Sus scrofa: one gene and its partner. The protein of the gene in region 1 binds, or shares a complex with, the protein of each later gene. Links are inferred from orthologs where the notes say so. Each region holds a gene or a part of one and is shown in the gene's direction. Other genes may lie near its edges. The genes, in order: SCML2 and histone H2A.J.

Region 1 (16,225 bases):
AGGTCCTTAACTCACTGAGCCAGGACAGGGATTGAACCTGCATCCTCATGGACCCTATGTTGGGTTCTTAACCTGCTGAGCTGCAACAGGAATTCCAAGATTAATTCTTTAATTGTCTGCCGACTGTATGAATCTCTAGCACAGGATCCGCATGTAGTAGGTTCAGTAAATACTTCCTTCCTGAATGAGGAATGAATGTGCCCACATGTCTTACAGATAGATTATAATGCCAGATGCTGGCTTCCAACCAGACTTAGAGGGGCTTACGGCTGGCTGATGGGTTTGTTTTCCACTCACTTTAGAGTTCCGTGCACCTTAAATCAGTCACTGTCCCAGAAAGGCGCAGAGAGAGCCAAAATTAACCCAGATCCCCTGTCTCCCCGTGCTTTCTCTACCACTCTCATGATAGATCCTATTCAGAGACCGTGTACCTTGCAAATCGAGGTACTGCTATAAAGCCTGTCTAGAATGTTTGAATTGTGGTTATGTCTTTCTGAATTCGAACCTTTGAATGCCTCAGTGCCCGCAGTATTGCTTTATATTCTTTCCATTGATTTGCTCATTAACTCAACATTGCTGTTGTTATTGTTCTTCATTTTTAAAAAATCCTTCCTAAATCTTGATGAGAGATTGTGTGATCCCAAAGCATTCTTAACTTACTCTGTTATTTCAAAGAGATAAATTTAAATATTTTAAAGGGTAAGCTTTTGTTTTTGAGTTTTTCTTTTCTTTTTTTTTCTTTTTGTCTTTTTAGGGCCGCACATCAGATCTGAGCCATGTCTTCGACCTACACCACAGACCACAGCAGCACCGGATCCTTAACCCACTGAGCGAGGCCAGGGATCGAAACTGCGTCCTTATGGATGCTAGTCAGATTCGTTTCTGCTGAGCCAAGATGGGAACTCCCTGGTTTTGATTTTTTTCTGATGTGTGTTTTGTGTTTTGGAAAACCAGGATTTTTCAACTAACAAATTGCAAGATTAAAATACAAAACAAAACAAGAGCAATGGAGGAGCAACCTATAGATTAAAGGGACTCCAGTAATTCCAGCTGTGGTGCAACGGGATAGGAACAGGCGGCATCTCTGGAGCTCTGGGATGCAGGTTCAAACCCCAGCCTGGCACAGTGGATTAAGGATCCGGTGTTGACACAGCTGCAGCATAGGTCCACCTGCAGCTCGGATCTGATCCCTGGCCCAGGAACTCCATACGCTGGGGGACAACCAATAAAGGAAAAAACAAAACAAAACAACAAAAAAAGACTCCCGTCATACCATCCAAACCTGTGGACCTTATTTGCATCCCCCTTTTTATTTTCTAAAGCTGTGAAAAAAAAGTATGATCTTTTATGGGGAAATTGGAAATTTGAACAGTAAGTGTATATTTGATGATATTAAGAAATTATTTCAAATTACCTAGGTCCTTGTGTTATTGTGGTAGACAGGATAATGTCTTTCCCCAAAGGTGTTCACATTCTAATTCCCCAAACCTGTGAATATGTGTTTTGTTTTGGTTTTTTTTAGCAGGTTTAGATCAGTGTTTCTCCATCTTTTTTTCTTTTTCTTTTTCTATTCAGGTATTATTGATATATAACATTATATTAGTTTCGGGTGTACAACACAATGATTCAATGTTTGTTTATATTGCAAGACGATTACCACAATAAGTCTAGTTAACTACACATCACCATACCTAATAGCTATACATTTTTTTCTTGTGATGAGGACTTTCAAGATCTCCTCTCTAAGCAACTTTCAAATATACAATATGGTATTGTTAACTATAGTCACCACGCTGTATATTACACCACAGGACTTATTATTAATTTTATAATTGGAAATTTGTACCTTTAGATCACCTTCACCCATTTCTCCCACCCCCAGCACCTCCCGCCTCTGGCAACCACCAATGTGTTCACTATATGAATTTGGTTTTTCTGATGTGTGTTTTTCAGCAAAGCTGTGTTGATTCCATATTTACACTTTCTCAATTCTTCACTTAAAAACATGCTTGTTCCAGAGTTCCCTGGTGGCTCAGCAGATTGAAAATCTGGTGGTGTCACTGCAGTGGCTCCAGTCACTGCTATGGCTGGGGTTTGATCCCAGCCCTGGGAACTTCCATATGCTGTGGGTGCAGCCAAAAAAAAAAAAAAAAAATATGTTTGCTCCTCTAGTTACCTCTTGTGAGCATAATCTCACGTGATTTGGAAGGTTTTTCTTACTTTGCCTAGATTTTAGGGTAATATTCTTAAGTATCTGCATTGGACAATTCTTGATGAACTAACAGTGGAGTTTCCTAATATGTAGCCTGTGTCAGAATCCCCTAGAGGACTTGTTAAAACTCAGATTGCTGGACCGCACCTCAGTGTTTGTGGTTCAGTGGGTTTGGGATGAGAACTGAGACTTTGGATTTCTGACAAGTTCCCTGGTAAGGCAAATGCTGCTGGTCTGGGGACCACACTTTGAGAACTGCTGACTTAAGGGATCTCAGCATTGCACATCAGCAGCTGCTGACATCATAAAATGAAAGACAACCAGGTACTGTGTGCCTCTTGATGGAAGAACGTACAACCTACTACACAGGAAGAAGGCTTGCAGGAAAAAAAAGAACTTGAATCTTACCAAGCCCTAAATTACCAATTTATAGGAAGGGGGACAAAGTAACATATTAAACCATGAGGATGCAATTAGCAAAATCCTGACTGTGGGAAATGAGGATTCTTCAACTAACAGAGCGCAAGGAAAAAAGAGAGAGAGAGAGAGCAATAGAGGAGAAACCTATAGATTAAAAGAGGCTCCAAAGCCAAAGTTTTATCGCCTAATCTTGTGGACCTTATCTGTATCTTTTTTTTATGCTGTAAAAAAATATTTTATAGACAATTGGAAATTTGAACAGAGAGTGGATATTAAGAAACAATTTCTAATTACTTAGGGCATGGTGTTATTGAAAGAGACAGGATAATGTCTTTCCCCAAAGATGTCCACATCCTAATTCCTGGAACCTGTGAATGTGTGGCAAAAGGGACTTTGCAGATGTGATTAAGCTAATGATCATATATGGGGAAATTATATTGGATTATTTGGCATGCTCAATGTAATCACAGGGTCCTTACGAGGGAAAGAGGCAGGGCAGGAGAGTCGGAGTCAGAGATGTGACACTGGAAACAAAGGTCAGAGAGAGAGAGAGAGAGAGATTTGAAGATGTTATACTGCTGGCTTTGAAGGTGGAAGAAACAGCTATAAACCAAAGAATGCAGGTGGTGTCTGGAGGCTGGAAAAGGCAAGGAAATTGATTATCCTCTAAATTCTCCAAAAAGAACACAGCCCTGCCTACTCATTTTGAACTTCAGACCTCCAGAACTGTAAGATAATATACTTCTGTTGTTTTAAGGGGCTAAATTTGCGGTAATTTTTTTTTTTGGCCTTTTTTAGGGCCATAATCATGGCATATGGAGGTTCCCAGGCTAGGGATCGAATCAAAGCTGTAGCCTCTGGCCTACACCACAGCCACAGCAATGCCAGATCTGAGCCGCGTCTGCGACCTACACTGCAGCTCACAGCAATGCTGGAGCCTTAATCCACTGAGCGAGGCCAGGGATCAACCTGCGTCCTCATGGATACTAGTCAGATTCATTTCCACTGAGCCACAACAGGGACTCCTGTGGTAATTTATTATGGCAGCAATGGAACACTGATACAGTTATGTTCTAAAAAGAGTCATCTTTAAGAGATACATAATAAAATGTTTATAAGATAAATAATATGATGTCTATCTAGGCTTTGTTTCAAAATAATAGAGGATGGGGGAGATTGGAGAGGGGTGTGAATGAGGCATGATTGGCCATAATCTTTGGGGCTGAGCGATGGGTGCATAGGGCCGATTACACTGTTCTACTTTTGTATATTTAAAAAATTAAACATGTACACATACGAGAAAAAAAATTAATTCTTTTTTTTTTTTTTTTTTTTTTTTTTGTCTTTTGTCTTTTTGTCTTTTGCTGTTGTTGTTGATATTTCTTGGGCCGCTCCCGCGGCATATGGAGGTTCCCAGGCTAGGGGCTGAATCGGAGCTGTAGCCACCGGCCTACGCCAGAGGCACAGCAACGCAGGATCCGAGCCTCGTCCGCAACCTACACCACAGCTCACAGCAATGCCGGATCCTTAACCCACTGAGCAAGGGCAGGGACCGAACCCACAACCTCATGGTTCCTAGTCGGATTCGTTAACCACTGCACCACGACGGGAACTCCAAAAAATTAATTCTAAGTGGTATGACCTAAAAGACTTCCAGAGACCTAGTTTGGTGAGATCCAAGCTGGACTTACCTAGGGATGGTAACATAGAGTAAAAGTCTTATCAGGATGGGAAGTGAGAGGGGCCATTCATCAAGCTGGGGCTGGACAGGAGGCTGGCCCAGGAAAGACAGAGGCTGAAAGGGAAATTAGAGGTGGGAGCCCCAGGAAAGTGGAAGAGTTAAATTCCCAGACGGCCATATGCATAAAAGAACAGAAATGGCAATGAACTGAACCAGTCAAGGAACAAAGGACATTCCATGCTTCACAGGGGGAAAAAATGATATGTGCTGTCTCTTAGGCTTCCAGTCACCTTGGCCTTTGCAGGTAGGCAGATGACCCCTCTGTCCTCCACCATCCCACTTCTCTTGAACCCAGACTCTCCCAATTCTATTCTTCCTTTTGTCAGACACCATTGCCTGCTTTTCCATTATTGCCTCTGTTAGTTTTCCTTTGTATCTTTCCAAGCAAATTCTCTTGGTTGTATGTTTTGTTTTTTGCTTGTTTGTTTTTGGCAAGGCAGAAGTAAATAGCAAACAAAACTCTACTGCCCAAAGCTATGGACACATGGAATGCAAAGGGCCTCTAAATGCTTGTCTTCGAACCTCTGTATTTAGACAGATGACCTCAAATGGAAGCAGGGTCAATAGTTCATCTACACAGTACCCCACACAGGTATAAAAGTGAAACCCGCCCTTGACTTTGAATAAAACAAAGCTTTCATTATCAAGATAACTACGTTTTATAGAGTTCCCTGGAGTTCAGTGGGTTAAGGATCCAGCGTTGTCACTGATGAGGCTTTGGTCACTGCTGTGGCATGGTTTGATTCCTGACCCAGGAACTTCCAGATGCCGCAGATATGGCAAAAAAAAAAAAAAAAAAAATACACAAATGTTTTTAAAAAGAGAATGAAGGTTTAATATAATTGGAGGCCAAACTACTGCCTTTATTAAAGAGAATTCATCATAAGAAGGAGGAAAAAATAATTGGAGGAGTTGCCACTGTGGTGTAGTGTGTTAATGATCCAGCTTGTCTCTCTGGAGGTGCAGGATCGATTCCTGTGTGGCTTGATGCAGTGGATTAAGGATTCAGCGTTGCCACAGCTGTGGTGTAGATTGCAGCTCTGGCTCAGACTGGATCCCTAGCCTGGGGACTTCCATATGCTGTGGGGGGGATGAGGCCAAAAAAGAAAAAAGAAAGAGAAAACAATTGGAAAACAAATTACAGTAGCTTTATTCAAAAAGAACAGCTTGTGGGAAAGAAGGGGACAGCGCAGCTGTCTGCAATGCTTGCTAAAAATGCGGGTGATGCTTCAACAATAGGGATGAATCTTGGGACAAAATGTTTAGTGAAAAAAGCCAGGCATAAAAGGGGACATGCTGTATAAGCTCATTGATAAGATATCCAAGAACAGGCAAAACTGATCTACAAGGTAGAAGTCAGAATAATGGCTACTTGGAGGTGGGGAAGTGTGTATTCCTGACCGGGGAGAGTCATAAGATTTTCTGGGGTGTTGGAAATGTCTATCCATGGATGCCTGCATGAGCACATCAGCACATACACATGCAAAACGACTGAGCTGTACATTTATGATATGCGTGATTTACTGCATGTAAATAAAAGCCCAGTTGAGGGAGTTCCCATTGTGGCTCAGCGGTAATGAACCCAGCTAGTAACCACGAGGATGTGGCTTTGATCCCTGGCCTTGTTCAGTGGATTAAGGATCTGGTATTATCATGAGCTGTGGTGTAGGCCACAGATGTGGCTTGGATCTGGTGTTGCTGTGGCTCTGGCATAGGCTGGCAACTACAGCTCCAAATTGATCCCTAGCCTGGGAACCTGCAAATGCCGTGGGTGCGACCCTAAAAAAAAAGGCTAAATACATACGTACATAAATAAATAAAAATAAATAAAGCTCAATTGAAAAAAGAACATAAAGGGTGAGACTACACTTGTTCAGGTGGCCTTGTGAAGTGGTCGATCCAGCCAGCTCCCTTGTATGCTCTGGTCCTCAACCCCCTCCCAGTGACCATCGAAGTCTAACTGCTTTGACTATTGCCAGCCTCTGCCCAAGCTCTCCGGGGCTGCTACTGGACGACCAGGGGCCTCCTGCCAGCATGCTCCTGTCTTGACTGCTCTCACTGAGTTCAGGCTTCTATTAGGATCGGGGAGCAGAGCCCTTGGTGCTGTAGCAGCAGCTAGAGGGGTTCCAGGGATCTGCAACTCTCTTTCTAGAACTACCCTGCTATATAACCTTCAATAGCTCCCCATCATGCTCTGAATAAGGTTCCAGCACCTTAGCATGGCACTCAAGTCCTCTAAATTGACTCCTTGTTTTGTTCAGCCCAATGAACCTTTTGAACCTTCCACTATTCAAAGACCATGCAATGACTCTTCATTACTTTGCACATATGCTCTTGTTTGTTTGGCAAACTCTGCATTTTTTCCCCTCTCAGTTCAAATGTTACCTCTCTTACCCTCTTAAGAAATAGCCTTTGGGAAACTAGTAATTATGGAGTGTTTACTATCAGTTAACAGTTGGTATTTAGGGGCTTTTCACACATTGTCTTCTTTAACCTCCACTCTAAGAAAATACCTCTAAGTTGATTTTATCCATAGTATTATAGTGACTTGTTTACATATAACAGACTGTGAAATCCTTAGGTGCTATAGACACAGTGCCTCAGATCTATAAATTCTCAAAGGGTTACAGAAATATTTGAAACACTTAACCTCTTAATTGCTTGGCTTGAAATAAAGAGAAAAAGACCCTTTCAATAATGGTCCAAGCAGAAGGAATAGAAGATACAGTTATATAAGATTTTTGAAGAGTACTGAACGAATTATTCACAGAGGTGTGGGTTGGTTTAGGGGAACTAATAAGGGATTCTGAGGTTGCCCAGGGATTAGTAAAAACTGGAAGCTGGAAGCTGTACCTGCTCCTCCTGGTTCCTGAAGACCCAGTGAGAACCAGTCTCGAAGGAGGAGCTCCTGCCAGAAGCTATCACAGTGAAGCCACTATCACTTCCAGACTGAGGAATTTCATGGGAATTATGGTAAAGAGTTTCCATGACATAATTTCGTATAATAATTTCATGGGAAATATTGTAAAATATTATGAAATAAAAATTTCATAATATAATTTCATGGGGAATATGGTAAAGAATTATAGGAAGTAAATGAGGCATCCCTGAGACAGGCAATTTACAATCAGAGCAGTATGTCTACAATTTAATAAAGGTTCCATATATGTAAAAGAGGCATAAATAACTTAAATCTTTCATAGAATGTAGAGATGAGTTTCAAATATTTCCATTGCATCAGGATTAGAAAGACAATAGCCAGTAATTCAACATTTGTGTTTCACCTCCCAGTCCTGCCATATCCCATACTAAGGGTTTGCTAATATTAAACCTGTTTCTTTTTGTTAAAGATAACTTTCTGGCTTTTAAAGACATTTTTGAAACGTCATCTTAGACCATTTCAATATTCCCTATGTGATATATATTACACAACTGATCCAAATCTCGCTTTAATATTTGCATATCAATGGCCTAGTTTTTCTATTTTTGCCTTCAAGTTTTCTTGAATTGTCAGTTAACAGTTATTTATTCATTTTTAAATGATGCAAGAACAATCAGAGCAATCTGATCTTGTGTGATTCACTAGTGCTTAAACAGAATAAAAAATACTTTAATTCGGCCCTTGTTTAACATTGCTAAAGTTGTGTTGTATGAAAACAATTTCATTTTGCTTTGCGGAAAATGGATATATTCCGCCGGTGCTTTTTCTTTTAAATTTTAGGCTCCAATTTCCGAATTATGGTTAAAAAAAATACTCATGCCCTATATACTAAGTTAAGCAGATCACGGGTGCAAAACCTCCATCCAACTTTTGAAAAGAGCTGTAGAGAGAGAAGGCCTGTCATTGGTTTACTTTTGGCTAACACAGCACATCGTATTATTTTTCAAACAAAAGCTTCATATCTGCCTATACCCAATCTGACAACAAGGAATGGGATGCTTTTCTCTAGTTTTCTGTTTGCTATGTTTTGTGCGGAGAGATTCATTTTGGAGCTATTTTTGCACCCGCCTCTTCCCCCTGGAGTGACCTCCACCTGCGCAACCTCTTCGTCCGGAGCGGGGGTGGGAGGAGACCCCAAAACGCAGACGACCGCGAGCACCCTCAAGCTTGTGAGCAAATTATTTTACTCTCCAGGTTTAGGCTAGTTCCCGTTAGCTCAAGCCTGGGTTTAGAGGAAGTACTAAATCCAGAATGTGGAGCTGTAGGAGAATGCGTGGCAAAACTCATGGGGAAAAAAAAAAGAAAAGAAAAAAAAGCTGTTTCAAGAACTGTGCTGCAACCCGCGAAGGAGTGGCTTTGCTCAAGCTGCTCTAACGAGCTGCTCTTTCCTTGCTCATCGAACTTGAGTTCCTAGGGAAGCGCCTGCCTTTTCGGTGCGCCAGGATGGGCGGTGGTCTAGAATCGAAGGCGATGGCCAAGGGAAGCGAGCTCCCCTCGGATGAAACTTGAAGCGGACCCTGGGGTTCCAGTTAAGGCCCACCAAGGTCTTAGGTGCATGGGCTGCGACTGGTTTTTTTTTTTTCTTTTTTGGCGGGAGGGCAGATGGGGCGGGGGGAGGATGAGGGAAAACTCCCTAGGGTTTTCCCGGGCTCGCGGAGTCTCATCGCCCACCACAGCTCGCGCGGGCTTCCGGCTGGGCTGCGGGCTCGGGCCCCGCACGCGGCTGCGGTCAAAGGGCGCGCTGGCTGCAACCGCAGGGCACGCGGGCAGCGGGGCGGGGGCGGGGCGGCGGTGGCGGTTGCGGGGCATGCGCGGCTCCGCGCGCGGCTTCTCAAACATGGCGGCGGCGGTGTGAAGATCGGTACCGGCTCGCGGGACCAGTGTAACAGAATTTCGCTCTTTTCGCTGAAGAGACTCGAGGTGCGTGGCGACTCCGGGCCCCGTGAAGACCAGAGCGGCGGGGCTGTGGCGTCCCGGCTCTGGCCGTTGTCCGCGGGCGGGCGGGAGTCCTCGGTGGCCAGTCCCGCGCGAGGAACGCCCCCTCACCGTCCCGCGGGGTCCGGCCCCAGCTCGGCCGCGCACTCTGGTCACCCACTCCCGGCGGCCTCACCCCCGAGGCCAGGGCTCCCTTGCCCCTCGGCGGCCTCACCCCCGAGGCCGGGGTTCCCCTGCCCCACGTAGTGCTCTTCGCGACGCCCCTCAGCCGCTCTCGCGACGCCCCTCACACTCGCCCCAGGCCCGGTCGCTGGGCACCGGCCCATCCCGCCGGCGACGTTCGGGCGCCGAGCCACTCTCCTCTAACCATCCCCTGGCGTGAAGCGCAGACAGTACCCTCCGGAGCATCCTCCGGCCGTGGGGACAGCGCGGGTGGGCGGCGGGGCTGAGTAGGGATGACTTTGCCTGGTTTGGGCTGAAATTCGCCCGGCAGCCTTCCGGGGACTTGTGAGGTAACTTTTGGAGTTTGGGAGGGAAACGTCAGTCTAGAAGGATGCGCTTCTGGCTGAGCTCGAGCTCGGCTCCGGGTGCCAGGTGTTTGTCGGACTCGCGCCCCGGGGCTCTAGGCGGTTGGGCAGGGGGCAGCGCCGGTGGCTCGCCCTCGGGGGGTGAAGCGGCGCGCGGGGGCGGGGGGCGGCGGCAGGTCCTGGGGATTGGGGCCGGAGAGCGGGGCTCCAGCTCTCCCCGGGAGCGGCGAGGCGGCCGGGGTGCTCTCCGGGCAGGACTGGGTCCCAAGACCTCTCCTCCCTTTATTTCGAGATAGCGTTCTCGCTTTTTCTACCTGGATAGTGGTTGTGCTACATCCTAGTGTGAATCGCCAGGGGGAGAACGAGTAAGCGAATTGAATAGATTTTGCGCGTTGAGATGATACGTAGCTTTGAGGGCTGAGCTGAAATTCGCGCCGCCCCACCCCCGCCCCCAGTGTTGGGGCAGCACAGGTAATTAGTTACAAGTTCCCGTTTAAGATTGTTGGTTTTTTTTTTTTTTAAAGGTTGTAATGCACATGTCATTGATTATAAAGTGTGATTACAGTTTGGAACTGGCTTCTACTTTGAAGAATTAGAAGATTAGCATTTATGACTTACCTGTAAGGGTGACTTTAGGACAGACTTCTCTAAAAGTGTTTGGATTTGTTAGTAGGGGGAAACTGAGGCAGCGAAAGTGAGTATTTACTTATGATCATATGATTTACGAAATTATTGGATATGGTTATCTTTTTGAAAATAACTGCAGATGCTGCTGCATTTTTAGTGCTCACAGAGCTATTCATATTTCTGTTTGGGGGTAAGAGTGTTATAAGATGTATTATATTTATGGAGTACAACTTCCTGTGACAAGCAGTTTAATTATAACAATAGTTCATAGACTGATACTTAGTTTTTTTTTTTCAATAATGGTACTTGAGAATGTTCTTCAATAATGACAGTTTTGCTGCTCTTGACATTCGTTTTTCTAATTATTCATTAAATAATGTATTTCCAGGGATGAATGTTCTTTCACCATGTTTGTGGGTTTGTATATTTAATATGAGCAATGTGAAAACAGCTTTTGGAAATGAGTGCAATGGGGATTTTGAAAAAGGAGATGAGCCCTCGATGCCTTGTGTTTGGCTCTTTCTTTATCCATATTCTTCAAAAGAGTCGGAAAGAATTTTTTCAAGAAATTAGTGAAACACCACTTAAAATGGCTTTGACATATCTGAGTAAACTTCATATATATGTTATGTAACCTTATAAGCTTCTAAGGGTGTATACCTGTTTCCCCGAGATAACCTGATTTCTTTTGAAATTGATAGTTTGGGGGGAAAAAGATTAATATAACTGAACTACATTATTTATGTGTGAGGATGCTTTAAAGTTAATGATGTCCTGTGTACAAAAAACCTTGGAGTCATTCTTAAAGAGGTGGTTTTTCTTCTGAGGCACTTGGTCGGTCCTTTGGATTTATGCTTCAGTCAACACATTTTTATTCAGTACCTGTGCTCATGGAAGTTCAGTTGAACCTACTGCTATCTGTGCTGGTTTCTGGGACTTTAAGACTTCCCATCAGTGGTTTATTCCTGAAAATTTCAAGGTTATAGCTAAGAAAATTTATATGAATGTAGAACAGGTAGTCCTTTTATTTCAGTGACAAATTCAGGGAGTCAATTTTGGTCATAATTCTCTAAACAAAGCTTGGATGTAACTGTGAATTACTTGTGACTTGTGTGATATTAACTTTGTGTGTTTTTTGTTATGATTATATAAAGCTATATGTTTTTATGAGAGATTATTTTTGGCTCAGATAACATGCTGGTTAGGCTTGAGGGGAAAAGGATAATTACTGGTATAAATTGAAATCAGTCTGTGCTCTGGAGAGTGGATGTTTTTTAATGCTAAGTAACTTCTGTGACTGAGTAGTTCATGTTATAACTAGCTATTAATTGATCATTTCAAGTGCTTTCTTTTTAAAAAATGTTTCAGAAATCTCTCTGAACTTAAAAATAACAAATAAGGCTTATAATGGTCAGCTATAAGCCAGATGTAACTCTCATTTTCTTGTGGGTTTGTTCCTTTTTAGCTGCTTGCCTGTTCCTCCCAGATGCTTCCTATCACCCCTCTTCCTGCCCCTGTTCCTTTTGCTGTTGGTGTCTGTTTCCGCATCAGTGAAATAGTCAGGGTAATCCTGCACTGCCTCACTGAGAAATAATTGATGATAGTAAAGTGTCTTGAAAAGGCTGAGTAATTGCCAGATTTTTTTGAATGAAAATGATGTAGTCCTTTGTTCCATTTAAGGAAGATCTTAATCTCAATTTTAGCTTAAGCTCTTGCAGGTTGGAAAGAGGAATGGAGGAGGATAACTTCACTTGAGTATTTGTTTGGGCTAATAGAAATGAGTGTTGGAATTTTAGTAACTGGATCACTGGAGGACGCAAAGGATCCTCTGCTATGGGAGTTATTAGTCACCTCTAGCTCTTTTTTGCCAGGTTAGTCTGCTGCTTTTTTTCCACCTTTATGCCCGCTCTACTCTCATTCCAATTGTGAATGGAAATCTGAGGTCATTTTCTTTATTAGCTTACCTCCCTGAGAGTCTCATTGTCTCCTCATAGTAATATTCCTGGTTTTTTAGAATATATGACATGAACAAAGCCAGCTCTGCCAGCCATCAGCATTAGAGCTGTGAGGCTATGGTATGAATATTGGTCTGGCATTGCTCAGGTGTTTTGTAGTTTGGAGTGAGCAAGTATCTTTAAGAATTTAAGGAATATTGTTAATTTGAAGTGATTTTGTTGATTTCAGGAACCAAAAGCATGGCAATTTTGAAAATGGCAAATGTTGGTCATTTTGAAAGAAAACCTCTTCCTTGATTTGGGATCTTAATCGTTATGATCTTTCTGTCTTGGGGAAATAAATGAGAGAAACCATTGCTGTTTATCTCAGCTTGAAATAGGTTGGTATAATTTAGTGGTGAGTTTTCCAGGCTCTAACTAGTTTGGGCTTTGGTTACTCTAAGCATAGAAATGCCTTTACTGTAGTGATACCATCTTATTTTTTAAGAGATAGCAGAGGTGGCCATTCTAAAAGTAGGATAATTTCAGAAAACTTCAGAAACAAACCATAAAAGATTTGAAATACGCATATGTTGTTTGGTGTTAATGAGTAAGGCATTTTTTGCATATTTTGTCTTTATATTGTCTAATGTAAGTAAACTGTGGCCACCTTAGAGATAATAATACTAGTGATTTTTATGCTGAGTGATTTCTACTAAGCGTATATCCCTAAACCTTTCTCTTACTATCACATTTGCGTCATGTGATGGAAAGGTTTTAACGTAAGAAATGAGAATATCTTATTGTGTGAACAGTGAAGGATTTGAGGCTCCTATAAGAGTTTATATGATGGTGCTTTTCAACTTAATTTCGTATTCATCTCACCTAGACTAGATGAATTCCATGTTTAACCTAAAAGTTAAAAAGAAAAAAAAAGAAGAATAAGCATTGTTTGAGTAAAGAGCTGGGAAACATTGGAAGGTACAGAGAGCATTTGACTACTTACTACTTGTGACCTGTGTTTATGGCTGTGGCTCTGCCCCTTCCTACGTTTATAGGAGCAAATTGTTGTAAGAGCGGAAAGAGTGCCCACCTTTTGTGGTTACATTGTAAACTTCAGAAGGGACAGATACATTGCAATTCTGGGGCATATCTTGAGGATGCTTTCTGTTCTCAGGGAAAAGTTGGTGGGACCCTTCTGTTTGCTTCTTGTCTTTAGAATACATATTTGATTTTTTCTTGGCTTCTGTTTCTCATAAGGATTAACTGGTGCTGAATTCCAGACAAACAGCTCTGTACCTGTAGCACAAATTTCTTTTAGTTTTAAATTAAGCAGTGAGTGAATCACATGTGTTTCTTCAGTTCTCTTGTCCTTGCCCCTCTGAATACAGTTGTAAACTTGTGCCCTTAGCTGTGAAACTGCCTTTTTTTTTTTCTTTTAGAAGATTTTCAGTATTATTTGGAGTATTAATTTAGTAGAGTTTGATAACTCTGTTATTAAAAGAATTTAAGTTAGAACTCAGTAGTGCTGAATACATTTACATATTGCTTGGTTTTAGATTAGGAAGTCTGATTTGAGATTTTTTTTGTGTCGAGATTTTTGAGAGGTTATAGAAATGTTTAAATGGGTCATTTACTGACACCTGCCTCATGTTTGAAGTATTGTCAGGGATGTTTAGTTTTCTGGTCACTTCAGATTGTAGTTTATTGCATGCTTTTCTGTAATCTGTTGTCTAGCAGGGATTGTTGTTGTCATCATTTCCATTATTTCTTGTAGGGCCAGTGTTAGAAACCATAAATCTAGACTGCTGTGATAATAGGAACAGGCTGTAACCTGACCCAGTTCTTTTGTCAAAATGTCGCACTGAGAGCTGCCTGTAGTAAATTGACATGCCCTGCTATTAACTTCAGTCCTCTGCAAATGTCAGTGGGCAGCAGGTCTTTGGGCAATTAGCCTGTGGCTGTGCTTTAAAAACCTTAGGAATTTACAACTATAAACTGAGATTTTGGTAACCCTTGACTTGTCTTTCATTTATCTGTTTTCTGATATGATGTACTTCTTAACCAAATGCATAGCATTCATATAAATTGTTTTAAGATTGTAAGAGATTAATTATTTTACCGTGAGATTATAATTTTTTTCCCCATCTTTTTAGAGCTACGCCTGCAGCATATGGAGGTTCCAGGCTAGGGGTCCAATTGGAGCTGTAGCTGCCGGCCTACACCACAGCCACAGCAACGCCAGATCTGAGCAGAGTCTGTGACCCACACCACAGCTCGTGGCAGTGCTGGATCCTTAACCTTCTGAGCAAGGCCAGGGATCGAACCTGCGTCCTCATGGATGCTAGTCAGGTTCATTTCCGCTGAGCCATGACAGGAACTCCAGTGACTATAATTTTTTATTTTTTTTATTTTATTTTTTTTGTCTTTTTGCTATTTCTTTGGGCCGCTCCCACGGCATATGGAGGTTCCCAGGCTAGGGGTTGAATCGGAGCCGTAGCCACTGGCCTACACCAGAGCCATAGCAACACGGGATCCGAGCCGCGTCTGCAACCTACACCACAGCTCACGGCACCGCCGGATCGTTAACCCACTGAGCAAGGGCAGGGACCGAACCTGCAACCTCATGGTTCCTAGTCGGATTCGTTAACCACTGCGCCACGACGGGAACTCCTAATTTTTTAGATAAATTAAAAATTTTTGAAAATCATTGTTTCCTTTTTTGGGTTTGCTCTGATGCAAAAAAAAATTTAACTTCTAATTTGTTGGAGATAGAGACTTTACTAAAGCATAATTAAAATTACCCCTCCAGAAGGCTTGATTTGATAAATCCTCACTACTAAAAAGTGTTCATTCTGGAGTTTCTGCTGTGGCACAGCAGAAGTGAATCCAACTAGTACCCATGAGGATGTGGGTTCAATCCCTGACCTCACTCAGTGGGTTAAGGATCCAGCATTGCTGCGAGCTGTGCTGTAGGTTGCAGACGAGGCCAGGATCCCACCTTGCTGTGGCTGTGGCATAGGCTGGGAGCTGTAGCTCCAATTTGACCCCTAGCCTGATAACTTCCATATGCTGCGGGACGCCCTAAAAGAGCAAAACAAAAAAAGTTCTTTTTTTTTTTTTTTTTTTTTTTTTTGGCTTCCCGACGCATGGGAGGTTCTGTGGCCAGGAATCAAACCCACGCCACAGCAGTGACACCACTGGATCCCTAACCCACTGAGTCACCAGGGAACTCTAAAATGTTCATTCTTTTTTTTTTTTTAAATTAGAGTATAGTTGATTTACAATGTTGTGCCAATTTCTGCTCTACAGCACAGTGACTGAGTCATACATATATATAACATCTTTTTTATGTAATTAAATTTAATTAATTAGTTTATTCCTGGAGCTCCTGGGCAAGGGATCAGACCTGAACAGCGGTTGTGACTTAGGCTGCCAGATCCTAATGCACTGTGTTGGGCCAGTTCCACTTGTGTTCCAGTACTCCAGAGCATTGATCCCGTTTGCCACATCGGGAATTCCTGCATTTTTAAAAAATATTATTTTCCATCATGGTCTATCCCAGGAGATTGGTTATAGTAATACAACCTTGTTGTTTACAAAATGTTTGTTCATTCTTAATATTGATTATTCACAATTCAACAATGAGTATTTATGCTGTGAGCCACATGGGAAATCCTATTATTCACAACTCAGATTTAATTTAATTTTTTTTTTTTTTTTGTCTTTTGAGGGCTGCACTCGAGGCATATGGAAGTTCCCAGGCTAGGGATCTAGTCGGAGCTGTAGCAGCTGGCCTATACCACAGCTCACAGCAGTGCCGGGTCCTTAATCCACTGGATGAGGCCAGGGATTGAACCTGCCTCCTCATGGATGCTAGTTGGGTTC
Region 2 (14,641 bases), on another chromosome or scaffold:
GTGGCATTCCCTTTCTCCAGGGGGCCTTCAGCTCAGAACAAATGTCATCTGACCTTTAAAAATACCCCTAAGACATATAATTTGTTCTGTACACCAATAAACACCATTTCACTCATGCTACTCTATTAGAGCAAACCACATGTGTACAACTACACAGATATCATCCCCCCCCTTACTTGGAAAAGAGAAGTGTCTTGATGTCTTATTTATCTCTGAATCTTCAAAGATATGGCAAAAGAAGTTTAATGTTTCTTTTGTTCAAATTCAGAAGAGATGACATTTCAACAGCATTCATTCACAGTGCAAGAAAAGCCTTATAAAAGAGCTTTAAGTTGCTTATTTAACAAACTTTGTAGCAAAGGCATTTTATTAGTCAACATCTGAAAATCTCAGTCAGTTCTAATTTTAGATTATCTTGGTGTCCTCAAATCACATGACCTAGTTTTAGTTTGGAAAATGATTACTTCAGGACTAGATATGACCATGGGACTCATAGAGACAAAAACAAATTTCCCATGTTCACATAACTTGGTTCTATTTTATAAAGTACATAAAACATGAACAACAAAAAAGCTATGCTACATGGGAAAATAAAATTCTACTTGACAGGTTAAAAAAAAAAATGAGGCCACCATCAAAAATATAACAATTTTATAAAAGTAGCAATTCCAAGTAACTTAAATACTTAAAGAATAGATATTTTGAATTATCATATGAATACTTACTTCCATGCTCCACTGCACTCCTACCTGCATCTTCAGTAATCTGATTCATGCTAATTTGGGGACTTAATAAGTACATTATCTGGAGTTCCCGTCGTGGCGCAGTGGTTAGCAAATCTGACTAGGAACCATGGGGTTACGTGTTCGATCCCTGGCCTTGCTCAGTGGGTTAAGGATCCCTCGTTGCCGTGAGCTGTGGTGTAGGTTGCAGTCGCGGCTTGGATCCTGCGTTGCTGTGGCTCTGGTGTAGGCCAGCAGCTATGGCTCCAATTGGACCCCTGGCCTGGGAATCTCCATATGCCACGGGAGCGGCCCTAGAAAAGGCAAAAAGACAAAAAAAAAAGACCCAAAAAAAAAAAAAGTACATTATCTATCTACTCAAATTCACTCATTCATTCACTTAACAAATACAAAAGCACAGAAGTGTACCAGACTATGCTACTTCTTACTTATTTTTATTTTTATTTTTTGCCTTTTCTAGGGCTGCACCCGTGGCATATGGAGGTTCCTAGGCTAGGGGTCTAATCGGAGCTGTAGCTGCCGGCCTACACCAGAGCCATAGCCACTCGGGATCCAAGCAGTGTCTGCAACCTACACCACAGCTCATGGCAATACCAGATCCTTAACCCACTGAGCTAGGCCAGGGATCAAACCTGCAACCTCATGGTTCCTAGTGTGATTCGTCAACCACTAAGTCACAACAGGAACTCCTGCTACTTTTTTTTAAGTAACTCCACTTTTTGTTTTTTGTTTTTCTCACTTACATTAATGAAAGTTGAGCTTCTCAGATTATCTCACTACCCCAGAAATTTAATTAATAACAGCACCAGGGGTACACTTGAGTATGGAGGAGAAGAAAGCTCTTAGAAGTGAAACGTGAGCAAACAGAGATGGGGGCAGAGGCAGTGCACACAAGGATTAAGGTCAAAGGGTGTAGGGTCCAATAGGGCTGGGTTCAAATCTGGGCTCCAGTTCTCCCCAGTCACCCACCCCTAGATCCCTGTATCAGTTTCCTCATCTGTAAAATGGTAATTAATAATAAACTATAATAAATCTGCTGGAGAATAATGGAACCCAATGTGTTGCAAAGTGTCTGATACTCAATAAATGGTATGATGCGAGCCTCTGCTGAGGGAAATACAAGAAATGTTTCCTTGGCTAGCGTACATCTGAGATATATGTCGTTTAAAATGAGACACACGTACATCACTGTCAAAATTGGGAAACTACCCCAGAGCCACTTCAAACAACCACCTCCAAGAAACTAAGTGATTTCACCATGTCTAGACAAGTCAGAATTGGGGGAGAATAGCTAAGGTGAATGGGACCGCACTGCATTTTGGGGTCCTAGGCCCCTTCGTCATATAAACAGGTTAGGAGAGACTGGACCCTCGAAGTGACTTGGGTTCCCGCCTCCCTCCGCTGGCGGACCCTGCCGGCCCGCACGCAGATGAGGCCCCCAGTCTCCAGGCCCTGAGACGCCCCGGAATAGTGCAAACAAATGCGCCGCCCTTTGCTCAGTCTCCCGGGCAGGATCACTGGGGGGGCCTCCACGACTACACAACTCTCGTCACATTTTCACCGAACAGCTTGGGACCCAACTTGCCGCCCCTCTCCTTTCCACAGCCCCTCCAGCAATTCTGAAAAGAGCCTTGACTGGGAAGCCAAGGCTTAACTCATGGCTACGACCAGGTCACATGACTCTCTATCCAGAGCAACAACATCAGGGCCTGGATGTTGGGCAGGACGCTGCCCTGAGCCTCGGCCCCGCTGCCGGCTAACTTCTGGATTCCCATCGTCAGGGGTTCGAGCACCGCCGCCAGGTGCTCCGCGGTCGGGTTGCTCACCTGCTCGGCGCGGCTACCTTTGTGCAGCGGACCCACGGGTAGCGCAGGGGCCGCGGGCTCAGGCCCGGCCTTGGACTTCGCCCGCACTCGGCCGCCCTGCATCTGGCGTCTGAGCTCGGTTACCTCTAACTCAAAAAGTCAGCGAAAAAATAAAATAATTCAAACCCGGCCGGACCACGGCGCGCCAAACTAGGCCGGCATCTCACGCTTTCCTATTGGACATCTCAACATCTCTGGTCCCAGAGACGGGACGGGCCGCACAAGCGAGAGCCGCCCCCTCTGACGCCTTCTATCCAATCGGAGACGAAAAGTCCACTCGTCCTATTTACATACAAGCCACTCTATAATTGCTCAGGGCGGGAATCCTCCGCGGCTTAGAAGTGTCCACCGTGAAGACGTAGGTTTTGCCAGGTAGAAATGCTTCCTTCTCCCAGAGCTGTAAGTCAGCAGTCTGGTGTCTGAAACAGAGAAGAGCAAGGTCACTACTGCCCTGCGTCGCACTTCCTGGGCTATGTTCTAAGCGCAGGCCCTGGGCTCTCTGCTCGGAGCCCTACTAACACCTCCCCTCCTCCCCAAGCCCCAAGTCACCCGCCAGAGCAGCAGCTTCCACCCACAAGGCGCTTGAAGGACATGTGCGCGTTCATACACAATTTAAGCAATATCAACTAGTTTTTTGACCTTTGGGGGGCCCTAAAACGGGCCTTTTGGAGTGAGGAGATAAACTTCAAGCACCGTGCAGACGCCGAGGCCGACCAGTATGCGGCCCTGCCGTTTTAGCGCATACACCGCAACCGTTTGAGGGCTCAGTGTTAAGTCACCGCATTGCGGATCACGTTCTTCAGGGACGCTTCGAGCACTCCCCGGTTCTCTTTCCATATGAGCCCAGAGATGCCCTTGACACCACCAGGACGGGCCAGACAGCGGATAGCTGTCTTCGTAATTAATGCCTTGGATGTTATCCGTTAAGACCTTCCAGGTGGCGTATAGCGCCTCCCTTGGCTAGACCTGTACCACCTTTACTCTGGCCAGACGTCCTTCACAGCAGGATAGCCTAAATGCAAAAGCAGCAGCTAGCAGTTTAAAGTTGTAGACCAGAGCATGTGTAGCCTTATGGCGAACCTGTTTGAAAACCTCAAGAAAGTGGGAAGAGTTATGGGCCCTGGGAGATTTTTATTCCTTCTCTGCCAAATTTTCTGTTCGCTCTTTGGGGCAAGCTTTTTGTTATTTTTGTCAAGAAAATGAGGAGACTCAATAGAATATACCTTGCTTTTTCTCAGCGCTTGAATAACAGGCCAGATCCAATGCACGCTGGGTTTCCCTTCCCTCTTTCCACCACCCTGCCCGCCCCGGTGTCTCTGTCTCTGTCTCTGGTGGGTGGGCAGGAATTCTAATTCTATAGTTTTCCAAATGGAATGCCTTCTCTGATGACACCATTCCCAGATCAATGTGAAAATCAATAAGAACCACGAATGCTTTATTTCTTGTTAAATTTCAAATCTCTTGCTTTACACCTGTGGATGTTTTAAAGTCACTAGTTGGGGAGGAGGACATCTTTTAGTGGTTCTTTTTTTCTCTTTTGTGGCCCCATGGAGAAAGAATTAATATTCCTTCAAAATAGCTAACAGGTCTCATCCTATGTGCCTGCTCCCTCAGACTTTCCCCTTGCAACTTCTTCTAAGCAATTTGCAGATTTTACTACCTCTTCTGCCCCCTCCACCCCAAGTGAGTTTTTTGCTTTTCAACTGAATAACTGTTTCTATAATTAGTGGAAGTATTTTATAATGTTCTTATTAAAATTCAAGTTTCTCAAATCTCCCACTTAAAAATTCAAAAAATAATGGATACCATGATCGTGGATTTAAGTAATGCTTTATACCGCAGAACCCCAATCAGAAGTCTCTCAATACTTTTAAGACAATCCCTGAGCAAAAACGAAAACAATCTAGGAGACAGCAGTCTTCCGAAAGATTTTACTGAGATAAAAGGCATCAGTATTTGAAGGATGATTCATAACTATTTTCCAGGCACTTAATACCTCGAGCGACAAATACTTTAGTAAATTGTGCTCGCTGTCCCTACTCCTGACAAATAAGCCTTTCCAGCAGCAAAGCTTTAGGGTAAATACTTACATATAATTAAATGCTTATTATTTACCTATCCTTACCCATCTCCATAGCACAAAAGGTGCTGTTATTGTTGTTAAAGAAGGATTAACACGAGTTCCTGTGGTGGTGCAGTGGTTAACGAATCCGACTAGGAACCGTGAGGCTGAGGGTTCGATCCCTGGCCTTGCTCAGTGGGTTAAGGATCTGGCGTTGCCGTGAGCTGTGGTGAAGGTCACAGATGCGGCTCGGATCCCACGTTGCTGTGGCTGTGGTGTAGGCCAGTAGCTACAGCTCCGATTAGATCCCTAGCCTGGAACCTCCATATCCCGCGGGTGCAGCCGTAGAAAAGGCAAAAAGACACACGCACACACACACACGGGATTAACAGAACCCTCAGAACACTGGGTATCTGGGGGAAAAAAATCCTCAAAGGTTATATTGTACTACATGATTTTAATCTCTGATTTGAGGGAAGAAAAGTCTTGAAGTGTCAGGATTCTTGTAATGGTAAAATAGGTTGAGGTGCTGTTTTTTTGTTTTTAAGTATTTACTAAGACTAAGAAATCAAGGTTATGAGTTCCTGCTGTGGCAAAATGGGATTCCCGGTGTCCTGGGAGCATCGGGTAGTAGATTTGATCCCCAGCTCGCACAGCGGGTTAAGGATCCAGGTGGTGTTGCAGCTGCCGCTTAGGTGGCACGTGTAGCTGGGATCTGATCCCTGGCCAGGGAATTCCATATACCCATGGGGGGCCAAAAAAGAAATAGAAAGAAATAAATCAAGGTTAGCATATTTTTCAAGTTAAGAGATTTATCTTACTTACAAGAATAAAAAGAAAAATAGTGTTAATAATGACATTCGGTTAAAATTTTCGGGCATACCCTGCGACCTTAATTACTAGAATTTCTCCCTTGAGCATCTCGTACTTGTGGGTGGAGTAACTCTCCGTCTGCATGTTTCAAACTGTGCCTCCCTAATTCTTAAGACGTTCTTTTCCTGGGAGCCAGCCGGGACGCTGAAACCTCAGGATACAACAAATTCAGTGGAAACCCTATACGCTGAGCAGTCGGGTGCAGATTTTCAGGTGGGTGATTATGTAAATGAGGACTAGGGATTTGCTCATCTGATTGGAGAGAGCTGGAAAAGGCGGTCCTTCTGCCAGCAGAGCGCGCTAATTGGGAGCGGAGCCTGCCTGTCATTGGTCACCTAAACTGAGGATGTTGCGGCGCCCAATGGGAAGGCTCTGACTAGCGTCAGCAAAGTGTTGGTAGAGGCAGTTCCGGTGTGATACGTCGCATTTCCTTACTAGAAACCGGACCGCTGGATTTTTTTCTCCTCGCTGGAGTTTTTGGTGAGAGGTAAACATGTCCGGTCGCGGAAAGCAGGGAGGCAAAGTGCGAGCAAAGGCCAAGTCCCGCTCCTCCCGCGCGGGCCTGCAGTTCCCGGTGGGCAGAGTGCACAGACTGCTGCGCAAAGGTAACTACGCGGAGAGAGTGGGCGCCGGCGCGCCGGTGTACCTGGCGGCGGTGTTGGAGTACCTGACCGCGGAGATCCTGGAGTTGGCTGGCAATGCCGCGCGGGACAACAAGAAGACCAGGATAATCCCTCGCCACCTGCAACTCGCCATCCGCAACGACGAGGAGCTAAACAAGCTGCTGGGGAAAGTGACCATCGCTCAGGGCGGCGTCCTGCCCAACATCCAGGCCGTGCTGCTACCCAAGAAGACGGAGAGTCAGAAGACGAAGAGCAAGTGACCCTGACTCTGCTAGGGAAGCTGGCTTCCCCAGCCAAGCCTCTTCCCACAGCCGCCCCGCAGTGTTTTTGAATATGCTTAATGTTATGGAGGGCCGGCTTGGTCTAGTGGGGAGGTGGGCGGCAAAGGGCCCACCGGGGTCGGAGGCCAATAAAGTCAGTGAAAATCCTCTGGTCGATAGAGATATGTAGTCGCGGGCGCCTGCCGGATGACCCACGGGGCAACCGGGAGACCTTTGGAGGAGGTACTTGTGGGTCGGCTTGAGCCACTAACTGGGCTGCTTTGGTCCGTAGGTCACCTTCCAGGCGCTACGGGCGGATAAGGGCTATCAGAAGGGACCCACTGCCCAGGAGGTGGGCAGAGTTGGGAACTCTCCCAGCTGGCTTGAAGGCAAAGTAGGTGCGGCTGCGGCTGGGGAATTTTTAGGCCCCCTTGCCAAGGCTTTTGCTCTCCTGCCCTGTTTGGGCAGTTTAGGAACCAGTTCTGGAAAAGGAGCGGTGACAACGAGCGAACTGGCCTTGGGCAGGAAGTTGTCTCTCTGGTCATTATTTTAAAAAGGTAGAATAACTTTCTGTCTTCGAAGAGTGGTCCCAATGACACAGTGTCAACAGATTCTTCTTAGCCTGATGGTTGTGTTTTCGCCTTTCGAATAGCCGATATTTTGATGTACACGCTTATGCTCACATTTCTAGAAAATGAAGGAAACATCCAATAATATGTGTAATACAGAAGCATGAGTCATGAGGTTGGAAATGTGTTCCCCTGACACTCACATTGCATAACAGTGCAGCGCCTTTAGTCATGAGTTACATATGTTTATGAGCTTTTAAAATGATTTTCTCAAGTTTCCAGCTTCATAATGGTCTTCTCTCCATCATACTATATTTCTTTGGAAGTGTAATTGATTTGATTTTGCTTTGTAACGACAGATCGCTGGACATCCCTTATGATCTACCACTGGCCTGAAGTAATGACCCCATTCCAACCAATCCTGTAGGGATTGTGTTGCTTAATGACAGTCATGCTTTAGTAAATATGTGAGATGTGCGCAAAGGTAAGGACAAGTGATACAGATGCAGGGAGGGAAACACATTTCAGATCAGCCATCTACATTTAAAAGTTAAACACTAGCAATCCCATTCAGTTCTTGGTTGACCCTTCCTTTTCACTCTTTTCTACAAGATTCATCCTGCCCTCATGGTCCACAAAAAAGTTCCCCGTTCAGATTTCACATCTTTGGATTCATCTTTCCTGTGAGTCAGAGTTGAAGTCTTCCTGAAAAAACAAATGAAACAAAAGAGTGGGTATGTGTTCATCCTTGGCAGTGTTTGGCCAATTTTCCATATGAATTTTATTTTTTCCCCAGTATTTATTGAGCATCTCTATATGCCAAGCACAGTACTAGGTGATGAGTAATGTGGTCTAGCTGTGGCTGAGACCCAACTAGATTTCCATTCTTGAAGCTCACTTTTTTGTTTTTTTCTGGGTAACTGAAGACAGGACAATGAACAAGTAAGTTAATATCAGAAAGGATTCCCCTTCAGCTTCCATTAGCACTTGTGTCTCTGCTGCTTGTGGAGTAAATGCTGGGATCACTTCTCCCACGTGGTCATGACTGAGGTATATACAAAGGTCAGGCCACACATACCCCTGTTAGGAGGCAGATTATCACTCCCCAGTTCTTGAAGAGAATAGTCCCCCAAGGGGATATACCATGGGCAGTTTCCAAGGTATCCAGCTGTTTACTCTCCTCCTTACCTTCTGTCTAGAAGGCTTCCTCATATGTAAAGTAATATCTATAACATATCTAAAATCATATATATATATATAATCTATAATATTATATAATAATATTATTTAAAAATAATATCCATTTTGAGGACTGAGATTCTTTCATTACTACGGTCCAGATGTTGGGGGCTCAGTAAATTGAAAGTACTGTTTTCTACAGCAATATGGGCATACCCTTATAGGTAACTGTAGCTAATAGGATTTTTTGGGTTTTATTATCTATTTTTCTTTTTTTGGCTGCCCCATAGCATATGGAGGAGTTCCTAGGCCAGGGATCAATCCAAGCCACAGATGCAGCCTACTCTGGATCCTTAATCCACTGTGCATCCAGGGCAGGGGACTGAACCTGAGTCCCAGCGCTCCAGAAAAACCACCAATCCCACTGTGTCACAGTGGGAAGTCCTTTGTTTTTATTTTTAATGCTCAATTTTTTGGGATAGTTCTCAGTGTTACCATCTTGGGAGGCCTGATAGGCAGTGGAATTTTTCTTTTCTTTTCTTTCTTTCTTTCTTTTTTTTTTTTTTTTTTTGGTCTTTTTGCCATTTCTAGGACCGCTCCCGCAGCATGTGGAGGTTCCCAGGCTAGGGGTCGAATCAGAGCTGTGGCCACTGGCCTACACCAGAGCCACAGCAACATGGGATCCGAGCTGCTTCTGCAACCCACACCACAGCTCGCGGCAACGCCAGTCTTTAACCCACTGAGCAAAGTCAGGGATCGAACCTGCAGCCTCATGGTTCCTAGTCGGATTCGTTAACCACTGAGCCACTACGGGAACTCTGGCAGTGGAATTTTTTAAAAGTATATTTCAGGTACCAGTTTTGACATTTAAGTCTTAATTTCCTAAAATATTTGAGGCCTCTCAAAGATTATTACCAAAGCAGTAAAGAAATGAAGACAAAGGCCATCAAGATGTTTATAAGAAAAAAACACTTTTTTCTTTTCCCTGTAAACATTCAAAGGAGTCTAACTCTGTTACCTGAAGATAAAAACAAGCAAGACACAAAGTACAGTGGCTGCCTCCATCCTCATCTACCTAGACCAACACTGTCCCAGAGGTTGCTTAGGCTTCCCTTGCTGCAATGAGTCCCTCACCCTTTCTCTTTTTAAAGGGTTTTTAAACCTGAATATATTGGCAGTTAAAAATGCATACCCCTTGACAAAGCAATTCAGCCTATTGATCTTTGATGCACCAACAGTTCTTGCCAGTATGTGATTGTTAACGTAAAAGGCTTGTTTTTCACACACAAGATGGTATGGAAGAAGACTGAGGACAAAAATCGGTGGGACCTGAATTCAGGTCTTAGATTTCTAATCCATAGTTGGGTGTATAGACAAGTGCTTTCCTGTAGAGATAAGCCATTCAGTGTGGCAGACTGTGACTGGGCCAGGATTTGTTCTTTGTTTTTCCTGCAGGGCCAGTCTTGTCTTTGTGGCCCTGAGAACTGGTCTGTTTAGTTTTGTCTGCCTGGAATCAAAAGTTTCAGTCTGGCCCCATAGTTGGTGATGACTGGCTTACTATATGCAAACTCTTTCTGATGCTTGAAAGGTAGGTCCTGCTGTTTAAGAACTCATACTCTCTGGAATGAGACCCAGGTTCAAATCTGCTCACCTCCTTAGTAGTTGGGTGATTTTGGAAATGTTACTCAGTCTCTTTAACTCCCAGTTCCATCTGTTAACTGGGCAAAATACCTCAGTGGGTTTGGGACAGAGTCAATGAGATAATGTGAATGAAGGCACTGAGTTTCCCCTATAAAAATGTGCTCAATGAATAATAACTCTTAATGTGTGAAATTGGATTTAGAGCAAGTATCAATAATCATGGGACCTATTGAATAGGTAAACATCTGGTATTCTAGCAATTCTGTGACTTTTCTGATCACACACCATAAAACCAAGCTTAGTGGCTGTTTAACTAATTATAGGACATCCACAACTCACTCTGTAATAGAAAAGAGTCATGAATAGTGAAAGCTTATGAACCTGAGTTTGCATTTTTCTCCCTGCAGACAACCTAGTTTGGAACTAATAGCTTGTTAAGTGCACCTATGCAGATTGAAAATGGAACCTGTTCGTTCAGCAATTTATTGAGCATATATTTACATGTTACGCCTATGATTGATAACTAGTTATCAAGAGAAGTGATTATAATAAGAAAGATGATTATAATCTAGCAGGATCCGTATCAAGAAGGGAAAGATGTTTAGGATGTCAGAGTCACAGGGAAGAGGCACCTGTGTCCCTTGGCCTGGTGGGGAGAGTGGCATCTGAGATGATGGGTCTAGTGCCAGAGCTAGCCTTACATGACCATGTCCTAGGCATAGAAATGCCTGCACAGAAGCACAAGGGTCAAAAGGCAGTACCTGTGGCAGGATCCAGGGGAGGGAATCCAGGGGAAAATCTCTGGCCTGGAGATCAGAATTTGGGAGTCATGACAAAAATGGTCTGGGTGGGTAAAATCATCCAGAGGGAATATTGATCTAGAGAGATATGTGTGAGTCCACGCAGCTGACAGGGCGTGTGGGGACCTATGAGCACTCTTCTACTGTAGAGGAAGAGGGGTCACAAAGGAAATGAGAGGATGTGGCCTGAAGGACACTCGGAGAGAGTGACTTTTCACATTTGGATCACTGCCCCTCTGACACTTCCTGATTTGCATTTACTTCGATATATAACTAGAATATATATATATATATATATATATATATATATATGTATATATTTTTCTTTTTAGTGCTGCACCTGTGGCATATGGAAGTTCCCAGGCTGGGTTATGCCACAGCAACGAGGGATCCAAATCATGTCTATGACCTACCCCACAGTTCACAGCAACGCTGGATCCTTAACCCTCTTAAGCGGGGCCAGGGATTGAACCTGCATCCTCATGGATACTAGTCGGGTTCATAACCTGCTGAGCCACAGTGGGAACTCCTTAGAAAATGTTCTTTAAAAGTTATTCCATTTCCCCACACAGGAACCACTGGCAAGCAGTCTCCCTCTACCAGTGCCCTGGAATGGAGATGCCTTTTCACATTGCACAAATAGAAATTCGAGGTATACACAGTGACAGCAAAAAACACTTAAAAAAAAAAAAAAAGCCAAGAAGAATATTGGTAAAGTAACATTTAAGAATATATCTTTTGGAGTTCCTGCTGTGGTGCAGTGGGTTAAGAATCTGACTGCTGTGGCTCAGGCTGCTGTGGAGGCTCGGGTTTGATCTCCGGCCCAGTGCAGTGGGTTAAAGTATCCAACAGCCTGGTTGTGGATCAGATTCAGTCCTTGTCCTGGGAACTTCCATATACCCTGGGTGTGGCCCTAAAAAAAAAAAAAAAAAGAAAAAAATGTAGTTATCATTCCATCTATTTGAATAAATCTTTTTACGTATTTTAATTTTAATCAGCTTTTTCATTTTAAGTTTTAATTTTAAAGAAGTTATAGAAATAGGGGTAACTTACTAATTCATAAAGCCAATATCATTATTTTAGAATGATTTAGCACAAGATATTTGACCCTGACAAGTTAATTAGCTAATGTTTCAATGTTTAGAGAGAAATGGAGGTCAAAAGTAACAGAAAGAAAGAAAGAAAGAAAGGAAGCCACCGGGCTTCGGGCAGACATGAAATTATTACTGTAAAGCTTTATTTTGTTTTCTCTACAAGGAGAGGAAAGAAAGTTTCGGTGTTGAAAAACACATTTTAACCTATATCTACACCCAAAAAGAATGACAGCACATTAGGATAGCAACTGGGGTCTTTGATAATTTTATCAAGCCATGCAATTAAAAAGCCAGCACTACTTAACTCCAAATTATGGAAACAAAGGAAGGATAAGGCCTATGTTAAGCAAAATTGTCTTTCTTTTAGACAGACTAGACAAGCAAACTGCTCATGAAGATTTGTTTACTTTCTGTTTTAAAGTACTTCTCAAATGAGCTATCTTGTTCATGTTAAAAGCCCAAATGGCCACAGTAGCTCCAAAATATCACTAATGAAATTGAGTCTATTCGTGAGGCTGGTGTACAAACTACTGTTACAGTGAAAAGACATGAAAGAAGCACGTGCGTGGCCTGGAAGAGGTGAGGTTCTAGATTGTGAGGACTAGGAGAAATACAATGGTTTGTAAAGATGTGTAATTTTTGATCCTCAGGACTTGGCCAATAGCCAGTCATCACCAATTATGGGTCCAGGCGGACAAAACCAAATGGACCAATTCTCAGACACAAGGACAAGAGTGAAGAAATCTTCATTAGATTTAGAAACCATGCCCCAAAGCAAGTTGGTCCTAAGGTCACCGGTCTGAAGAGACCTATGACCTCCTCAGACTTAGCTCCCCAAAACAGACTTATCCAGCCTCTGTCTATCCTCTCCCTGTGGACTTGGCCTCTTATACATGACTCTGAGTATCAAGCAAGCTAACAAGCAGTGCAAGCTGGGAATGGAAGAACAAAAACAATTTTACTGAAGAATACTAAAGTAAAAAATAAAAATCTAAGAGATCTTATCTCCAGGGAAACAAACACAACATTGAAGTGCTACAACAAAATGTAGGAACTCAATTCCATGTGAACTTCACTCCCTAGCCCTGAGCAGGTGGCATCTCATCCAGAGGGAATCACAAGGGCTCCCAGATGTTCGCATTTGAGAGTCCTAGTCCACTTAATGAGCACTTTAGCTGAATCTGCATTTTCGTCCTGGCTTTCTAGCCAAAGACCATTAGGAACATACCTGTTATTAAGTAAGCTGGGTTTTATTGCTCTTTGTAGCAAGGAACACACATAATGGGAAGGTATGAGGTATCTCACTCAAAGTATTAGGATTTATTATAGATTTGAAGCTTGGCCTAGGATTGCGTGCTGTTGGGAATAGAGTTAAGTTTTTGACTTGGTAGCTTAATACGTCTAATGGGGTACATGGAAGGAAGCGAGGCTAAAGCTGAAACAGGTGAAGATGCTAATGCATATTGACCAGCACAGGGGACTCTTTGGTCATTTTTGTGGTTTGGACAATGCTCATGTTTTTGCCTCCTGATGTATTTTTGTTTTGATTTTTCATGGTCACAGAATGACCTCATGGGTATGGAATAGTTTATAGTCCATAGAGCCCCAAGGTGCAGCTGTATCAGGCAAACTCCCAGCAAAACCAAGGCCTGACTGAGGGTCGAGGCCAGTTTCAAGTTGTCATGGGCTGCTTTCCGCTTTCTCAGTAACTGAAGGAAAAAATCTGACATGGAGAAGGGAGCTTGCTGGGCTGTGGAAATGGATGAAAACATAAGGTGAATGTTGGCAGTGGCCAAGCACCATGCACAGAAGGAAACTTCTGTCTGTGCGTATTTCAGTCCCACATTTATGTGCTGTGAACATCCAAATCCTCTGACACCATCTCCGTGTTTTCATGTTCATCAAGGAACATTTTATCTTGAATTTGTCATTTTGTGTGTCTTCACATAGGGTCAGAAAGTCCTGCTATTTTTAACATAATAATCCATGTATTTCTAATAGTACATTATGCTTTAAGTTTATATTTGTAAATACCTTATATATGCATAATTATACACAATTTTTATATATCTAAATGTATATATTAAGTAAATACCATGATGTCACTTTTCCTCCCCTCTTCCAATACCTTGCTTCCTATTGTTTGGTCCAAATAGAAACCGATAAGTTATTCTGATTTGAACTCAGGTCAGAAAAATAAAGCATTCAATCCAATAAAAATCGAGAGATTTATTTATAAGCTTGCTAAGTCTTGGTTTTCTCATGCATAAAGCTGGAATAATAATCTCTCTCCCTTATCATAAAGTATTTAGTGTCTAATGTATGGTAAGAGCTGAATAAACTACTGCTATTGTTGTATTTATATTTTCTACTTCACTTTTGTATTCCCTTGTCTCTCAGTGTTTATGGTACACATCCCCCACCTGCCTCCTGAGCTTCACACTTTACCCACCAATTAAGATTTCCACAGGGAGTTCAACCTCAGCTGTTCTAAGCTGGACCAGTGTCCTTCATTCTACACCTGCCTCCCCCAGTCCACTGCCTCAGTTTGAATTTCTGCTCCCCTAGTTGTGTAACCCTGGGAAAGTTATCACATCATTCTGTGGCTCAGTGGAGGCTCTGTGAGTAGAGGGCATCAGAGGGCCTTTGCAAGAGGGAAGGTTCAGGATTCTGCCTGGTTGTAGTGAGTTAAGCAGTGAGGGTATGAGGACATCAGGTAGCCTCTGCTCCAACCACGTGCTCTGAACACACATTCCCTCTGCGAACTCCAGCCTTGACTTGTCCTGAGGATCCCCCTTCCCACAGCCCTCCCAACAGGGAAACCACACACTCTGGGTCTCCAGCCTTCAGCAGTGCCCAGATTCCCTCACAGGCCCACCTCTTTCTCTCCTGGGTCCCTTTCCATGTGGCTGTGGAGTGTGACGGACCACCT

Evidence for each region.
Region 2: the proteins of SCML2 (region 1) and histone H2A.J are in contact, whole or in part, in a crystal structure (PDB 4EDU), measured with the Homo sapiens proteins. The link is inferred for Sus scrofa from reciprocal best matches to the Homo sapiens genes SCML2 and H2AJ. Residues at the interface, in NP_006080.1 of Homo sapiens: Asp182, Asn185, Tyr187, Leu188, Cys190, Phe206, Trp209, Phe213, Pro239, Pro240, Gly241; in NP_808760.1 of Homo sapiens: Leu35, Arg36, Lys37, Gly38.

The regions. Positions count from the first base shown.
Region 1 is NC_010461.5:14,815,461-14,831,685, reverse strand, and holds the start of SCML2 (sex comb on midleg-like protein 2), read left to right. Parts: upstream 1-8,669; 5' UTR 8,670-8,865; intron 8,866-9,101; exon of another isoform or gene 9,102-9,234; intron 9,235-16,225. UniProt on the Homo sapiens protein: Putative Polycomb group (PcG) protein. PcG proteins act by forming multiprotein complexes, which are required to maintain the transcriptionally repressive state of homeotic genes throughout development.
Region 2 is NC_010447.5:57,768,961-57,783,601, reverse strand, and holds histone H2A.J, read left to right. Parts: upstream 1-5,928; 5' UTR 5,929-6,036; coding exon 6,037-6,426; 3' UTR 6,427-6,594; downstream 6,595-14,641. UniProt on the Homo sapiens protein: Core component of nucleosome. Nucleosomes wrap and compact DNA into chromatin, limiting DNA accessibility to the cellular machineries which require DNA as a template.